Linked DNA regions of Drosophila melanogaster. The protein of the gene in region 1 interacts with the protein of each later gene in a pairwise test. Each region holds a gene or a part of one and is shown on either strand. Other genes may lie near its edges. The genes, in order: CG13168 and CG15549.

Region 1 (8,311 bases):
CGCCCACGCCCTTCGTCTCCAGCTCCAGGGTGTTCAGCTTGACGCCCACAATTTTGATCTCCGTGCGGCGTAGCGATACGGTTGCCACGTGGCTGCGGCTTACCATCTGCGGCTTGAAATCGGCGCCCAGAAGATTGGCCTTTGCCATCGAGAATATGGCATTGCGCATCGCCTCATCGCCGTGCATGTCCTGGTCGAAGCGGATGCGACGCAATTCGCGTAGCTTCATATCGATGGCGTCCCGCTTCCGCTTGAGGAGACCCACGCCCCTTCTAGCCGCCAAAACGCGCTGCTTCATGATCACCGAATTGGCGCGGGATGGAAAGATGGGCAGGATATCGCGTTTGGCCATGGCGGTGACTTTGGAATTGGACTCTGATCACGTAGAGTTTGAATTTGGCCGAATTGTAGACTTTGTTACAAACGAATTACTGATGTGAGTATAAAAACATATGTATATTTTTAAAACCACGCTTATAAGAGGTTTTCAAATGCTTATGGAATAAATATGAAAATTGTGGAAGAGTGCTATGAATTAGCTGGGATTTTATGACTCAATCGGCAAAAAGTCAACAAATTTACTCCCTTGAATTCTTTTCGAGCTTATCAAAACTTTCAATTTGTATAGTGAATGCAGTGGTGTATATTATAAATATTTTGTATGAATAAGAAATTTTAGTGCTTGCCAAAATAAGAATTAGAAATGAATAGTTATTTTAGGCTGTAATTATACTAATTAAACTATTTATCAATCAGTTAAATGAATTGTTAACCCTATAATTGAAAAAAAAAATACCAAACAAATTCCTGATCCGCCAAAATCATTTTAAATTACTCATACGCATAGTTGCCTATGGAAAATTACGCATACGCAACGTTGCCTTATCTATGCCTGATATTTAAAACAGCATTTTTATTTAGCTCTCGAAAATGATGTTTTAATTTACATTAGCTTAATCCCTAGAAAATGGAATCATTCACATATAATACATTTGTTATTTGTGCTAAAGATAATGTCCACAAATCGGCAAACCAGCGAATGCGTGTGTGTGTGCAATTACAATGCGGAACGTTTGACCATTCCACTGGGATTTCACATTGCCCATTGGACAGTTGGCCACTGGACACCATTGGACGGCGATTTTGCCCATTTTCCAGCTGCCGTACGATTTCCTTTGCCGCAGCGAATTGTCGCAATGTGGCGCCGCTTGGTGCAACGCAGCCTTGGCGCATTTGCAACGCATGCCAACAAGTTAAGTATGTTAACCTCTGGAAAATTAGACATGCCACAAGGGTTGGTGGTGCGGTGTGAGCTGGGCGTTGGGCGGTGGGTGGTGGGTGATGGTGTGGCAATAGCGATGGCTAGGTAACGAAAACGAGAATGAAAATGAAGTAACAATGCAGCAAACATCGGGCCAAAAGAGCGTTTGTAGTTGTCGTTGTCGTAGTCGTTGTCGCTTGGCGACGACAGCAATGCGCCATTTTTCGTTCGCCCCGCAAGACATGAAAATTTGGCTTTTCCCTCCATCGCTGTATGTGTGTGTGTGTGTGTGTGTGTGCGTGTTGGGTAAACATTCTGCCAGGCGTTTTCATTCTCTCTTGGATTTTCGCAATCGCAGGGAAGCCACACATTTCGCCCTCTGACCCCATAGAAAAAACCGCGTTGACAATGTCTTAGGCGAAATTTATCGCAGTTCAATAGAAAAATATTTAATAAAATTGGTTAGCCTTGCTGAATAAAGGAAATAATCATTTCTTTACTCTAGAATATATAAGAAATTCCAGAAAATTTCTGTGTGTTGTCAAGTGCCAAGTAAACACGATTTAATTGCGAGTAAACATTTGCCTTTTCTCTTATGGAAATATTAATTTGCATACATGGGTACTTATGCATGCTTAGTGATTTTCATGCCACAAAAGCTTGCAAACAACAAATGAGCTCAAGCAAACATAACTTTTTAGCATGTGACAGTTTTAAAAAATAATGAGAAAACAGGATACATATATACACGTTAGTAGTAGTAGAAGGTTGGAATATATTCGTATTTCTACATATAAATTGTACAATGTAGAAATATACAGAGATCCGGTTTGGGACACTACTTTCCCTTCTTGCCCTTGCCCTTTCCCTGGCGCTTCCTCTTGCGCTGATCCTTCTTCCACTTGCGCCAGTATTTTTGAATCTTGCCCGCCGCCCGGTTCATCATGAAGATGACCAGCTTCTCCTGCTGCACGCGACGTTCCTCCTCCTCTCGCTTGACCACGATGTTCTTGTAGATGCGCTCCTCCTGCCTGTACTGGACCATAAAATCGTCGAGGACCTTCTTGGCAGCCAGATACTGATCCTCCGCCACCAAATTCTCACGCATCTTTTCGCCCAGGCTGGTATCGTACTTCTTAAGCATACTCTGCAGTTGCAGGAGCAATTTGTTTCTATAAAGGATTGAGAGCACTTAAATAATAAATTACTCGATTTGTAGCTTACTTTTCGCTTCGCAGCTCGTGCTCTTCGGCCAGATGCTTCTTGGTCATCTTCTCGTAGCTCTCCCGGGCATTCTGCAGCTCCTCCTCCAATTCCTTCTGCCTGTCCATGCTGCTCTTGTGGTAGCTTCGCATCGTGCGATGGCACTTTTCACTGTAATTTGTAAATATATTCAAATAAGAATTTCTAGAACTAGAAATCCGAGTTACATTTCGTTCTGAATGGCCACGTTGTTCTGCCACTTCTTATTGGCCAGATCCTCCTCGACCTTCATCAGATAGATGCCCTTGGCGGCCGTCTTCCATTTGCCAATCACCTTCTGGAAGGCCAGGCTCGCCTTCAGTTCCTTGATTTTCTTCTTGATGTCCACATTCTGATGAAAGATGGCATGGAGCTTTCGCTCCTTGGTAATCTCGCTACGCGAGGATCGGTGCAGATGGACGTGGGCGCTCTCCAGGAGAAAGTGAAAGGCGGCCAGCAATTGGCGATCCCTTTCGTTTAGGTTCTTCTTCAAGTGCGGAAAGAATCGATGAATGCTATGGTTGACCAGGAAGAAGTCCACGATTCGCATGGTGGTGTGGTCATGTGGCAGCTTGGAACGTCCACTCTGCTTGCCAAGGTGGCGGATCATGTCATCGATGGGCTCGAGAACCTCCTCATAGCAGGTGTCCTTCAGGACGCTCTTCAACTTCTCGGGATTCTCCAGCAGCTTCGGTATGATCATCGCTATCTTGATGCGCTCCTGGGACATCTTGAGCACACGTTCCACTCCTTCCAGTCTCACCTGACGTTCGGCGGTGGTATCTGGAAGGAAAAAGGATATGACTGGTTTTGTCTTAAAACATTCATTTTATACTAACCCATTTTTACTTAGCAGCTTTACGGATCCTGGCGCATATATAAAATCCTCATTGAAAGATTTTCGTTTACACAGACATTAATAACTTTACAAAATTTCCTTTTTGCGATATAATTGTGTGCCGGGTTCTTTTAAAATGTATTAATTTAAACGACTCTCGGATACAACAGGAATTTTCTATTTATTATTAACGAAATCACGAAGTTAAAGCAGATAGGTGCAATTAATCTGCCGCAACCTGGAAAGTGAAGCTTTTTTTTCCATTAAATGTTCTTGAGCGTATTTCACTTGTTTGAATATTCTTAACTTCTATGCTTCTTTTGTTTTTTCTATAATTTATGTTTTTCCGATTTTCTGGCTATGCTTGTGTCGAGGTCTTTTTGAATTCTGAGCCGAGTTTGTTATTGTTTTTGGGGATAAACAAACATGGCTTGCTATGTTGACCGTGTTGCCTGGTTGCAAAGCCAAAGAATATATACCAAATAGAAACCCTTTCGATCAAGGAGCAACTGAAGAAGGGGGCGTGGCGAGGGGCGGTAAATTTGAATGGCACTTTCATGGCAATGACTGGTAGAAACTTTTGCCAAGTGCAGTAGTCGACAATGAAGAGTGTGGGGCGGTTTTCTAGGGGGCGGTGGGCGCTCGCCTTCGGTGGGTGGCTTGTTGCTTGTGTGTGGCCATGTCGCATTATGTCAACTGACGTGGCATGAATGAAAGCTGCTGCAGCAAAGCAAACGAGGGAAAATGCGCTGCAGAGGGGCTTGCTGGGAAAAAAGAAAACCATAAGAGCATGAAACGAACTTGTGAATGCAGAACAATGTTGGTGGGTGGGGTTGGTGGTGGTGGTGAAATGTTCCTCACTCAGGTGGAAAATCTACCTAATGAAACTGGCATGAAAGGGGGAGCCACAGAGTGAATGTAATCTGGGAGCCCTTCGCTGCAATCTGCCAAAAATCGGATTCACTAGTACAGTGGAGTCTCAGCACATCCTACCTAATTTAATTTTAAATAAATTTTAGTTACTTAGACGAAGTAATAATATAATAAGGGTCAGTACTTTTTCTTAAAATGAATAAATATATAATATGTTATAACTAAAGGCAGTAGTAATTGCATAAATGAGCTAGCAAATAAAATGCTGCAATGCGAACCAACTAAAAAAAGGAAGGGCAAGATGAAAGGGAAGAAAAATAAAATTGAGCAAGACATAATATTTGTTGTTGCCTTTGCAAAAAGAGAGATGTGTGAGAAAAAGCCAAAAGAAATGACGCATAAACAAGCAGAGAGAGCAAGAAGAGAGAATGTGCTTTCAAAGTGTGCAGCAAAACGTGTAAAGTAAAAAGGGACATAACAAGAGAGAGAGAGAGATTCAGAAAGAGAGAGCGAGCGCCTCAAGTTATGCATCGAAATTTGAAATTCAGGAGTAACGGGAGAGCGCCCTACAGTATGCAGCCAAATAAGGCAAGTCTGCAGAGAGAACGAGAGTCTTGCGCACACGTATACGTAACAAATGGCCATGCAAAGCACGAACGCAGAAAAACGCTAACGGTACTGCAAAGGAGGTGCAGGGCAAAAGCAAAAATCCAAAGCCAAAATGGTTCGCTCTCCTGCTGGTGGCCCACATTCGCTCAGCTGAGCTCGGCTTTACCGTTAACCGATTAGAGACTTACCGCTTACCATTTACCGTTTCGGGCCGTCTGGCCCTGGCTCATTATGTCCCGTTGCCTTGGCAGTATTGTTGTATATTTTTATAGTCGTCCTCACTCGACAGTTTCCTTTTGAGTTCTATTTCTCCATTTCCATCCCCTCTGCACATCTGCTCTCACATAGATTTCACAGAAATGTGGGCCCGTTATGCTCGGCCTGGCCGCATTGCAGCTATAAATTTGTTTGTGGTTCACATTTGCCTTGGAAGATTACTTTTGGCCATAGTCGTCGCGCAGAAGTGGGCGACAGAGAGGGAGAGGCGAGAACAGCGGAGATACCGCGGAACAATGGACTCAAGGAAAGGGAAACGAGAAACAAGAAACGACTAACTAACTGTGCTTAATGGTGGGTGGTGGTTCGTGGCTAGGGAATGGTGGGGATGGGGAATGGAATGGAATGGGGTGGAAACCCCATAAAGAACCTTTTTGAGAAAGTGTTATTATAATGCTCGGGCTGCCATCGGGAAGGTCAGGTTGTTGGGTCTCGTACCAGCGGAAGCTAAAGATATGCCCCTGGGTCTGGTCTTCCTTTGAGCAGGATGGCTTGGTATTTTCACGATAAAATACGAATTTAGTTTGCGGTAGTTTCGCTTTAAAGAAAATAGATCTAGATTCGTGTTAGGTTGTGGTAGTTTGAGATGGGATTATAAGAGCAGTGTTTATAAACAGATTTAGATTTTTAGTTCTTAGAAACCTTGAAACTTAACGAGAACATCTTATAATATTTTTTCAAAGTTATACTTTCACTATTGGCTTCTCATTAAGAGCGACTTAACGAATTAAAGCATTCGTATGAAGGCGCTTTTCCGGGTAAATTATAGCCACGGACAGGATTATTATGCCTCGGAGTACAGTACAGTTATAGTTTCCTTTTCCCACAACTCGATTGTGCTCGGAAGGCATTCAGTTGCCGCGCAGGATCCATTTGGCCGGGCACCTGGTTTTGTCACCTGAGCGAGGACCAAAGGAAGCGCTCGCACTGGCAAATGAAGTGGCACCCAGCCCAGTTCTCGCCCCATTGAATCCTGTCGCCCACCTGGACAACTTTCCTCTGAATTTTTCATGGCTTTCTTGGTGTTTTTTTTTGGTAATTTCTCTGTCTTTTTTTTGGGTTTTTCCCTGTCTTGTTTCCGTTTGGCAGTTACACTTTTGGACTGTAGTTTTTGGATCTGTTCCGAGGCAGTCTGGCATGTATTTTGAGTTGGTAATGTTTGGCACATTTTATGGAGCAACTTGCACTCAAGTTGCCCCGAGAACTTTTGGCTTTTGCTTCCGTTTGGTTTGACTTGCCAACCTTCTCTGTAATTTGAATGTTCTGAACTGTGAAGCGAGCGACAGAACAAACTGTCGTTCAGAACCTGCAAAGAGTTAACTTGGCTAACAAAGTGTATCCAGCCAAGCCAAAGCCAAGCCACCCAACCAGCCTACCCATCCACTCGACTTGGTTGTTTCAAATTTTTGTTGCTATTAGAAAAGTTTCTGTTCGCTTTGGCGAGCATTTTTTTCCTCATTTTTTTATAATAATTTAATAAACTATCAAAAGTTTGGGAAAGATTTAGCTTTCGCTACGCTTGGAGAACAAACGAAATTGAAATTCAAGCAGCAAATCCAAATCAAGGATTCCAGGACCTTGGCAAGTTTATCAAAGAAATCCGGGCAAAAACAGTTTCAAGAAACTTTAATTGGATCAGCGTAGATATTGACATTTCCTAAATGGGGGCCGTTGCAGAAATGCCAAAGTAATTACATACTTAATACATACAAATAATATCCAATTACAGGCATTTTTGTATTAGCTATTAAGTTTACTTTTCTGCTTACATATTTTCATCACGCAACATTCATGTAGCTTCTGCTTCTGCGAACCTTTGCAGATACTTAATTATGATATAAGATGGATATTTTATTTCATACATATTTCAGCACGTGCTGACTATCGCCTGGCTGTGATCATCTTCAAATATTGTATTTATTATATATTTTCTGTTTGACCAAAGTCAACAATAAACGACAAAATGACCGCACGTGCACCGGGTTTGTTTGCCAAACCTCACTTCCGTCTCCCTCCCCCCTCCCATATCCTGACTTGCCTGTTTAATTTAGGCCAAAAGCAGCAAATGTCCGGGCCAAAATGATTGATGATATTGCGTTGCGAAAAAAAAATGGCGAACAAAATTCACTTGTTAGTGGTAAACCCAGCCGCTTACTTTCATCTGACTGATTCCTCGCGAAGCCGGCGAAAATCTCTTCAGACCAAGTTAATAAATTGTTTGGTGTATTTGTTGCATTTAGCGCCTACACAATTTGGCAAACTTTGTAATGAAGTCGCTGTGGGAGAGCCCTATATCAGGTTTCTCATCTTGTTTGCGATACAGTCGAAAATAAAACTCGATACAAAATGCCAGCGAAATTGTATTTTAAGTAAAGTACACATAAATTATGTTTATAGTATCTGAAAAGTGTGTATGTTATCGTTTCTATCCTAAATTCGAGTGTTGAGAACTGAAGCTTTAAATTCTTGATTTTCAATGCATTTTTTTCTGTTTATGAGGTGTTTAAAGTACTGATTTTTTACTGTAGTGAACTCCGCGTTTGTTCTCTGGCTTTCGTCCTTTTGCCGTTGCTGTTCTGTATGCAAGGCACGCAAATTTGTTGCCAATAAGCGGCCGAAAACAATTTTTATAAGTCTTGACTGGGAAGATGACTGGGTTAAGGTGGCAGGGGGGGCAGAGGGGAGGCGGACTGGCAGGACTGCCAGAGGGGAGTCCTTTTTTCCTATGCGTGCTGCGTGCTTTTCTGTTCTTCTGCTTTCGCTGAGCTTCCCGCGCTCCCCGGACTTCCTGCTTTTTCGGATGCGGCCAAGGGTGAGATGGTGGCTTCGAGACCCTGGAGTTGCTTAGCTACATCGTCGCCCGGATCCGGAATGTAGGTCATGTTGGACGCCGTTTTGGAGGAGCTACCACTTCGCCAAGTAAGCGAGAGAGAGAGAGGAGGAGAGAGAGAGAGAGATATCGCACTCACACGCACACACGCATAGAAGCATTTCCACCAACCAACACACTGCCAGCATTCATTATACACACACAGAATTTTCGGATGTTGGTAGGAAGAGCGGTGGAAATGGAACAGGAAGGAAAGCAACACTGTTTCCCATGAATACGTTAGCCTGGGCTGTAGGTGGGCGTGGTCTACAAACCGCCCACGACTCGGATATGTGCTTTATTATAATAAAAATTTCATTACAAAATTGAATGTTGACGTGTC
Region 2 (7,782 bases), on another chromosome or scaffold:
GCCATCCCCATTAACTGACTTTCACTTGGGCCATATGTCAGGTCCTTCTCTTCTACTTCCCGAGAATCTGTGCCTATGGCACCTGCTTAAACAAAGGGTTTTCGGCTTAATGAGTCGCCGACAATTTAAATTTCAATTCCTGAGCCGCCTTTAATGCCGCAGCTTTGGGCCTCGTTAAGATGGGCCTGATATATTAACTAGAGAAAGCTGAGTAATTGCGCCAGTGTTTTTTCTTCTCTCTATAAACAAAGCCCAGACACGATGATGATAATAATATTCGAATGTCCCATCTGCAGGTCGACCCCATTTATGACCAAATACAAAATGATGGCCATAAAATCATCTCATATTTAACTGGCCTTTATTTATTCATTTCAAATTTACTTGCTGGCCATTTTATGATGCCAAAATTTTGACCTAAAAATCATAAAAACTGTAATCAAAATGTTTGCCCGGTTTATGGCCGACAAGAAGAAGGTCGGGCGGAGCGTGGGTGGATTCCGGAATGGGGGTTGTGGTGAGGTGGTGGCGATTTCTAATAACGTCTAAACGCGAGTCCGGCCAAAAGGAAGAACTGGGCACGGGAAAGAGAGGCCGGGGCTCAACGCTTATGGCTTTTTAATGGTGCCGTGTGTCGGTTTTGTGGCAAATAAAATGGCGCACATTAAAAGCGGGCCAAGGAGCTGCTCCGCCAATTGCAGTGGCTTCCGCATCCTGGGCCCCGACCTCTGGCCCCCTAGCTAGCGTATTGGGGTCATGCATGGCAGCCCGGGTAAATAAAAAATACATAAAAATATTTTACGAGGCCCGGCCTCCTCGTCCGGGAATAGAAGGAATAGACGTAGCCCAAGGAGCTGAAAAGTATAGGATAGTCCCCGGCAAAAGGGGACATCGCAGCGAGATTGCAATAAAAATGGCGGCAAATAAAATTGACAATATTGTCATGCGCGCAATTTGATTTTGATGCCAGTGTGTGTGGGGGCTTTCGCAATCCCAGGGACTTGGCAACAAAATGAGCACATTTTAATTTCCCTAAGAGCCATAAGTATGGCTGAAGAAATCAAGGCCAAGGAGCTGTTGATTCATTGTTGCATTCAAAATTATTCAATATCAAAATTATATGAACGCACGAAAAGTCAATATTCCAAGCAATACCACCTATACCGCCTACAAATACTTGGTAATAAACGCCACATCTGATTTCTAATACTCCGTAGACCATTCCATTTAATACACTTGCCATCTTTACTTTTGTTTTATCTGCGTACTAACTTTTTATGAAGCAGTCTAGGTGCTGATGAAATGTTTAAGCAGCTGAGCGCGAAAGCCGTCGGCAAAACGCTAAAAGGTTTGCCCCTTATCAGCGTTCCCCATTCGGAGACTGCCTCTTCCTCCACCACTTCGAGAACCCCACCCATTCGTTATCTCCGAGAGTGTGGAGCCAATGATTATTCCGGGTTTTGTCATTTCAATTCGCATTATCCTTTGCACTTATTTTACTACTTTGTGCGCCACTGCTTCTGTTCACCCCACCCACTTTCCGCCACCCTTCCAACGCCAACTGTAATTGTGGGCTGGTGTGGGTGGCAGGGCAGAGGAAACGGAAGAGGGTGTGTTTGTGTAATGGCGGGTTGCGGATGTCCTTCCCCCTCCCCGCCCCGGCCACTGCCAACGTTTGCCCCTGTCGAGTAACTCGTATTGTCATTGTGCAAATAAAATATGTCACGAATCGCCCACTCCCCGCATTTTGCTCCTTGGTCCTTGGGTCCACCCCAAAAAAACCGAAACACGCCCCCTGCTATGTGTGTGTATCTAACCTTTTGTGCCCATTGTATCCTTTGTACAGGACTCACACAATGCGAGCAAATGTTTTGGTTGCTTACGGGCATCAAGAAATGAGAATCGCTTTTATATAAACTTGGCTGAATGAGGATGGGCGGTTGATGTGGTTAAAACAGTTGGCCAGCCTTGATTCTGATCTGTGCACAGGCAGAAATTACCTATATTAATTAATGGAGATTCAGCGATGGTTAGTGTCAAATGAATTTCAATGAAATATCTAAGTAAATACCCCTCATTTCCTTGGATATTGTAATCTTATTGTTCATACTTAATTGCCCTACATTTTTGAGCAGACAAAATGTTCCTTTTCTCCCTCTCTCAAATTCATTCAAACGCTTTTCACTTGACAAGCCAGGAAAATAAACAAACTACACGGAAAGCCAATGGCAAAGCCAAATCCAAATCCATGATTTCAGCTGCCAAATCCTTTTCAAAGCTGCAGCCAGGTGAAAAATAACGAAATATCGTATTTTTCATACATTTTTATCAAATATAAATACACACTCGTATGGGTTCAATCCGCTTGTGCGGCCCAGCCAATCCGAAACCGAACAACTACACAAGTTTATAAAAGACACTCGTTGGCGGCCCTTTGTGTCTTTGTGTTGAGTGCTTTTTGGCTAAATGCGAAATCGATTGGAAAACAATTTCCAATTTTTAAAGAATTATCGCCGCCATATTCGCGCATGCTGTACTAAATCACACATAAGCAACCTCTAAATCTGCTACCCGGGACCCCCAGCCCGACCCCCCACCACCCACCACTCCACACACATGGGCAACCTTTTCGCAAAGCTTTTCCTTTTTGGCTCGTTTATTTCCTTTTTATTTTCCGCTTTTCCAGCTCCCCCGCCCGCCAATATTTTCCATTTCATTTTCTGCGCGGTTGGCAGCGCGTTTAGCTTTGGCTGCATGCCTGACTGACTTTCAGTTATACTAAAAATATATACATTTATATTCGCACACATAAGCTGAACAGCAGGGGAAATGAACAAAAAAAAAAAAAAAAACGAAGAACTATTAGGAAGCAGAGGGGCTTTAAATATTAAAGCGAATACTGTGAAATAGACTAGAGACTAAAGACTATAGGTTGAAATAAAATATTTAGTTTCCCGATTTTAATAGTCTCTCATTCACTTAAAACAGAAAGAAGCTGTGACAAAATATACACAATCCTATTTGCAACGCTCCTCTCTGAGTGCCCTCGGGTGTACCCTTATGGTTGTTATCTCCACCGCAATAGCTACTGAATCCGCAGAGGAGCGAGCTGGTGATCCGGGACCGGGGTCCGGGGTCTGGGAAGGACTTCGAGGACTGGCAACGCAACCCGCAGCCATTTAGTTTTATGTGCCCCGCTCGGTTGGGTTATTGCACCTTTGACTCGACTCCACAGCCATCTGAATTCCACGCCACCTTCGACTTGCTCCGGAGGAGGTGTCACCCTGGAGGGCATGTATCCACAAAGCATCTCGCATGTGAGAGCCATTTATTATTATTTGCTTTCAGCAAATGTGAGCCCGAGGCTCGGCCGCAAGTATTTCCTAATCAGGTTTTAACTACTAATAGGATTTCCGAGGTGGCGAATCGTAATTTACATGGCTTTGGCCGGAGATACCCAAAGAATTGAATTGGAATCCAGAGCAAAGCTGCCGCTAATGTATTGCAGATTATGGTAAATCCCTCGGCACTTCCTTCCTGATTCCCAGCCCCTTAGTCCAAGGACCTCATGCTCACACGTGCTCTAGCACTGAGTGGATCCAATGGAGACTCCGCTCAGATCCCTGAAGCGCCTGAATCGCTCGATTCTCCGCTGGCGAAGGTAGCGCCTTATTTCGCAGGCCGCGTTGCAGGCCACCAGGCCCAGCATGAGGGCCGTGATGAGCCCGGCGAAGATCAGCAGGAACCAGTGGAAGTAGCAGCTCATGGTCACTGGCCTTTGAAGCCAGCCGCTCCAGGATGCGGTGCACTCCTCCTGGACGCACCTTCCGCGCACATTCCTCACACATCCCTTGGCACAGCACCCGTTCGTACTGAAGCGGCCACAGGATGTCAGTTCGATCCTGGGATCTGAGCAGTTCACCGCCGCATACTGCCCCCAAATCCGAGGGATAATTTGGGCCAGAAGGCAGCTTAGGGTCAACAGATTGGCCAACATACTGCACTTTTTGCCACACGTCGAATAGCATGAATTTTGAGGATTCTCAAATAAATTTAAGGCTAAGTCAGTGCTGACTGCAACATGTATTTTAATAAAACTAAAGCAAATAGTTGGAAACTATCTAAGTATTGTATAATTTCATTTTTAATATATATGCAAGGTTGTAAAGTTAATATTTATAATTCCACTTAAAATCGGTTTTATCTCACTCTTTATCTTTATGTTTGTTTCTGGTCTCCAAAAATGCCCTGGCTTTTTCTGCCCTCTCCCGCGCCTCGTTGGCCTCCTGTTCCTGCTCCTGGGGATCCATAGGCGGAATATACTCCGGCGGATTCTGCTCCCGGGCATTTGGGATGAAGGGAGCATGTGGCCAAACGGAGGGCTTAGCCTGCAGCAGCCACAGTTCGTCAAGTTGGCTCTGAAGATACTGGACCGCCTTCTGATGGCGATTGGCCATGAAGTAGGCGCAGCCTATCCAAATACAAGTGATCAGGACTACGCTGGAGATGATCAGCACTTTGGTGGGTATGGATTCCAGTGAAAAGCTCCACGATTCGGATATCGCTGGCTGTTGAGCTGCCAGTACTTCCTGCACCAGCGAAATAGGGAACCACTTTACGGCGATCTTGTAAGTCATTGCGCGGAATTTCTTCAACTGAAGCTTTGGAAATCGTGGAGCTGACTTTATAGGCTCCACTTATCGCAAAGACGACGGGCCTTTCCCAGAACTATTCCATTGGGAGGAGAACTATTCCAATGGGAGTCTTTAAAAAATGTTCCAAATGATTCGAAAATAAAACAAGACTTTTGATATAAAATAAATATTATACTGCATTATATTACTTTCATTTTAAACAATCGTACTTACTTAGCCCTAGATATTAAAAGTGTGAGATTCGTATGTAAAGTTGGTTAAGTTTAAACTTCTGTTATTATTGCTTTCGGTTATTATTCCACAGGGCTTAATTATTGTGGCCAAATGGGAATGGGGAATGGCAGCCGAGTCTTGATTAGAAGTGCCAAATCAGCTCGCAATTCACTCGATTCACCGCTCAAAGAGACCGTAAACCAAATCGGCATAACAAAGTGATTCTAATGTAATTCGTGATTTTGCATAATTATAAAGTTAATAATTAAAATTGCTGCGTGCACAAACCGAAATGAAAACATTAAACTTTAATGATGATTTTGGGCCGTACAGGTGCATTGGTCATTTGGCATTTACAGGGTGGATTTGGCAGGGGGTTCACCACCTCCCATCGGCAAATAAACTAATGCGTAAATATTAGCAAATTCCACCCGTTCCCCCCTTCCCCACCACCAGCAGAATATCCACATAAATTTGAGACACATATGCAGTGCGTTTGTAATAAGCAATCAATTATTATTATTGAATTTCGGGCATGGTCAGGTGCAAAGAGGCGGCGGCGGGCGGTGGGCGTGGCAGCTGGTCAACGCCACTAATGCGTCTAATGAGAATTTAAGCACACTTCAACCCTCTCGATTCGATTTGAACCCAACCCATTCGGAATTTGGGGAATTTTGCGTGGATTTGCACAGCACACACAGCCCCCAAGTACAGTTGTGCTCTTCTCTCGGCTCCAAATGCAAATGCAAATACAATTACATTCGGAACCCATTTAGCGGCATTTCGGTTTGCTTTTCGTACATTTTCCAATTTGTTAGTCGAAACTGCGCAAATCTGTGATTTGCGGTTCGGCGTAGGATTTTTGAAATATGAGTGGATGTTACATATTCAAAGCCATATTATGCGAATACTATTATCGTCATTAGATATATAAGCTATTTGAATTTGTATGATTATTATTTGATTTTAAATTATCTAAGCTGTCTCATATCAAATATGTACAAATCTGAGTGAAAAAGCTAACCTATTTCAAAGTAGATAACCGAGTGTAGATATATCTCAACTGGAAGAGAAGTCATAATTATTGGGTCACCCTGATAAAGATCCCCAAAACAGGATAGTTTCCCCTCTACTATGTTACTATGTGAGGGGGTGGGGTTCGAGAACACCCCTCAAAGTGCCCGCTTAACTGGGTTTCATGTGACCCTGCTAAACCGACATCGTTAATGATAATTTAATTATTGCCCGGCATTTCGGGCTTTGGCGACTTACGCACTCCTGCGAACGAGAATCCTGCGGCCTGGCTAATTGCAGCAAATCTGCTTTGGGTCAGTTAGTCGTCCTTATTAACTGATAATTGCAATCACCTGGCTTTTGGCCACCAGGTGGGTTGGAGCCGGACAGAGTTGGGCGCATAAAACATAAAGCGACCAAATCCGCGACTATCGCCATCCGTTGCGAAGATACGAGCTGCAAACAGTGACAGTTCGGCTGAGCAGCACGATAGGAACTTAACTGGCATCGAGGGTATTGTAATAATAAAACAAAAGTGTCAGCCAAAGATATCGCAGGATATGCGCAATCCATATTGAAAATTGATTTAAATTTTTAATAGGCATCAGGCAGCGGCGGCGCTTTGATAAAAATGCCAGCACGCGGCAATCGCGCAATCGCGGGCTTACCTCTTCGCAGGAAGATATATCCAGATCCGGATCCGGAGCCGGAGTCAGAGCCTCCTGACGGGGGCTCTAGTTAAATATGGAAACAATATCGAAATGCCAACTGAAATCGGCTGAAACTTGTAAGTGAATGCGAACGCGACATGAATATCCATATCCATATGACTGCATGGCAGTCTGCATTTATATTTGTTTTCGTAGCTGTCAAATCATATTTTAATCTGTTTTGATTGCTGACTTTTGTGCGAGGGATTTGGGCCGCCTGCAGTTGCAGCGGAAAATATTGCATTTTATTTTATTTATGCAAAAAAAGACGGGCGAATTTATGTGGAAAGCTCGTGCGATCTCCTCTGCCTCCGCATTTTCCGCATTTTCCGCTCGTGACTCCAGTGGCTGTGTTGTGTGCGTTTTCCATTTGTTTCATTTGATGTGCCACAGTTAAGCAGTAAAATCCACTTTTTACGAGTTGTCCCCGGATTGCTCCGCCGGCCACTCCCACTCCGCCCCCTTTTGGGAGCTTTGCGTTGTTACTCATACGAGCGTAAGAAAGAAAACCAACAGCACGCATTCAGTCGCTGAAATTTGTCAATAATATGTGTCAGCATAGAGGTGAGCAAGAAGTCGACATGTTTATAGGAAGTATCTCTAAAAAAAATATTACTTAGTATACTAAATACCCCAAATAAAATAGCCATATAAATTTATTTTAAATCGATCACGTATTTGTTTTTAATGATCACGTTAAAATACTGTTGAAAACTGTCAGGAGACTGAAAAATATATTTTCATCGTTAGACTTGTAGACACTATCTATTCTATAATAATTATGTTGTCTCCGGTCAGGAAATTTGATAACCAGGCCATACCTCACATTTACTTTATTATACTAAAGCGACAAGTATAATGTTATTTTTATTGTGAAAGTCGAAACCATATCACTAGTGTCACAAAGGTCTATCTCTTGTCGAATTCCAAGCAAAAATGTTATCTTATTGTCAAAGAAATCTTATATATTTTTTTATGTGATTTAAATTACTACATTTCAATGGCGAGAACGGTTAAAAAGTATGTACTATGAGGATAGGGATATCCTAGATAGTTCTTGTTAAAAATTCGCAGGGAGTGGATATCATCACTGGCAGGTCCTTTTCTTCCCCTCTCGCACCCCCCATCGGAGCCCCTTTCTCAGCGCGGCTTTGGCAGTGACTTAAATACACATAACCATAGATGGTGCC

The links.
Region 2: the proteins of CG13168 (region 1) and CG15549 interact in a two-hybrid assay, tested with the Drosophila melanogaster proteins (one large-scale study listed by BioGRID).

The regions. Positions count from the first base shown.
Region 1 is NT_033778.4:12,249,396-12,257,706, reverse strand, and holds CG13168 (uncharacterized protein), read right to left. Parts: upstream 3,716-8,311; 5' UTR 3,347-3,715; coding exon 3,343-3,346; intron 3,287-3,342; coding exon 2,692-3,286; intron 2,636-2,691; coding exon 2,486-2,635; intron 2,434-2,485; coding exon 2,100-2,433; 3' UTR 2,006-2,099; downstream 1-2,005. Other genes in the region: Vha36-2 (vacuolar H[+] ATPase 36kD subunit 2), read right to left, coding at 1-352.
Region 2 is NT_033777.3:30,932,462-30,940,243, forward strand, and holds CG15549 (uncharacterized protein), read right to left. Parts: upstream 4,047-7,782; 5' UTR 3,998-4,046; coding exon 3,584-3,997; 3' UTR 2,935-3,583; downstream 1-2,934. Other genes in the region: CG15550 (uncharacterized protein), read right to left, coding at 4,206-4,637.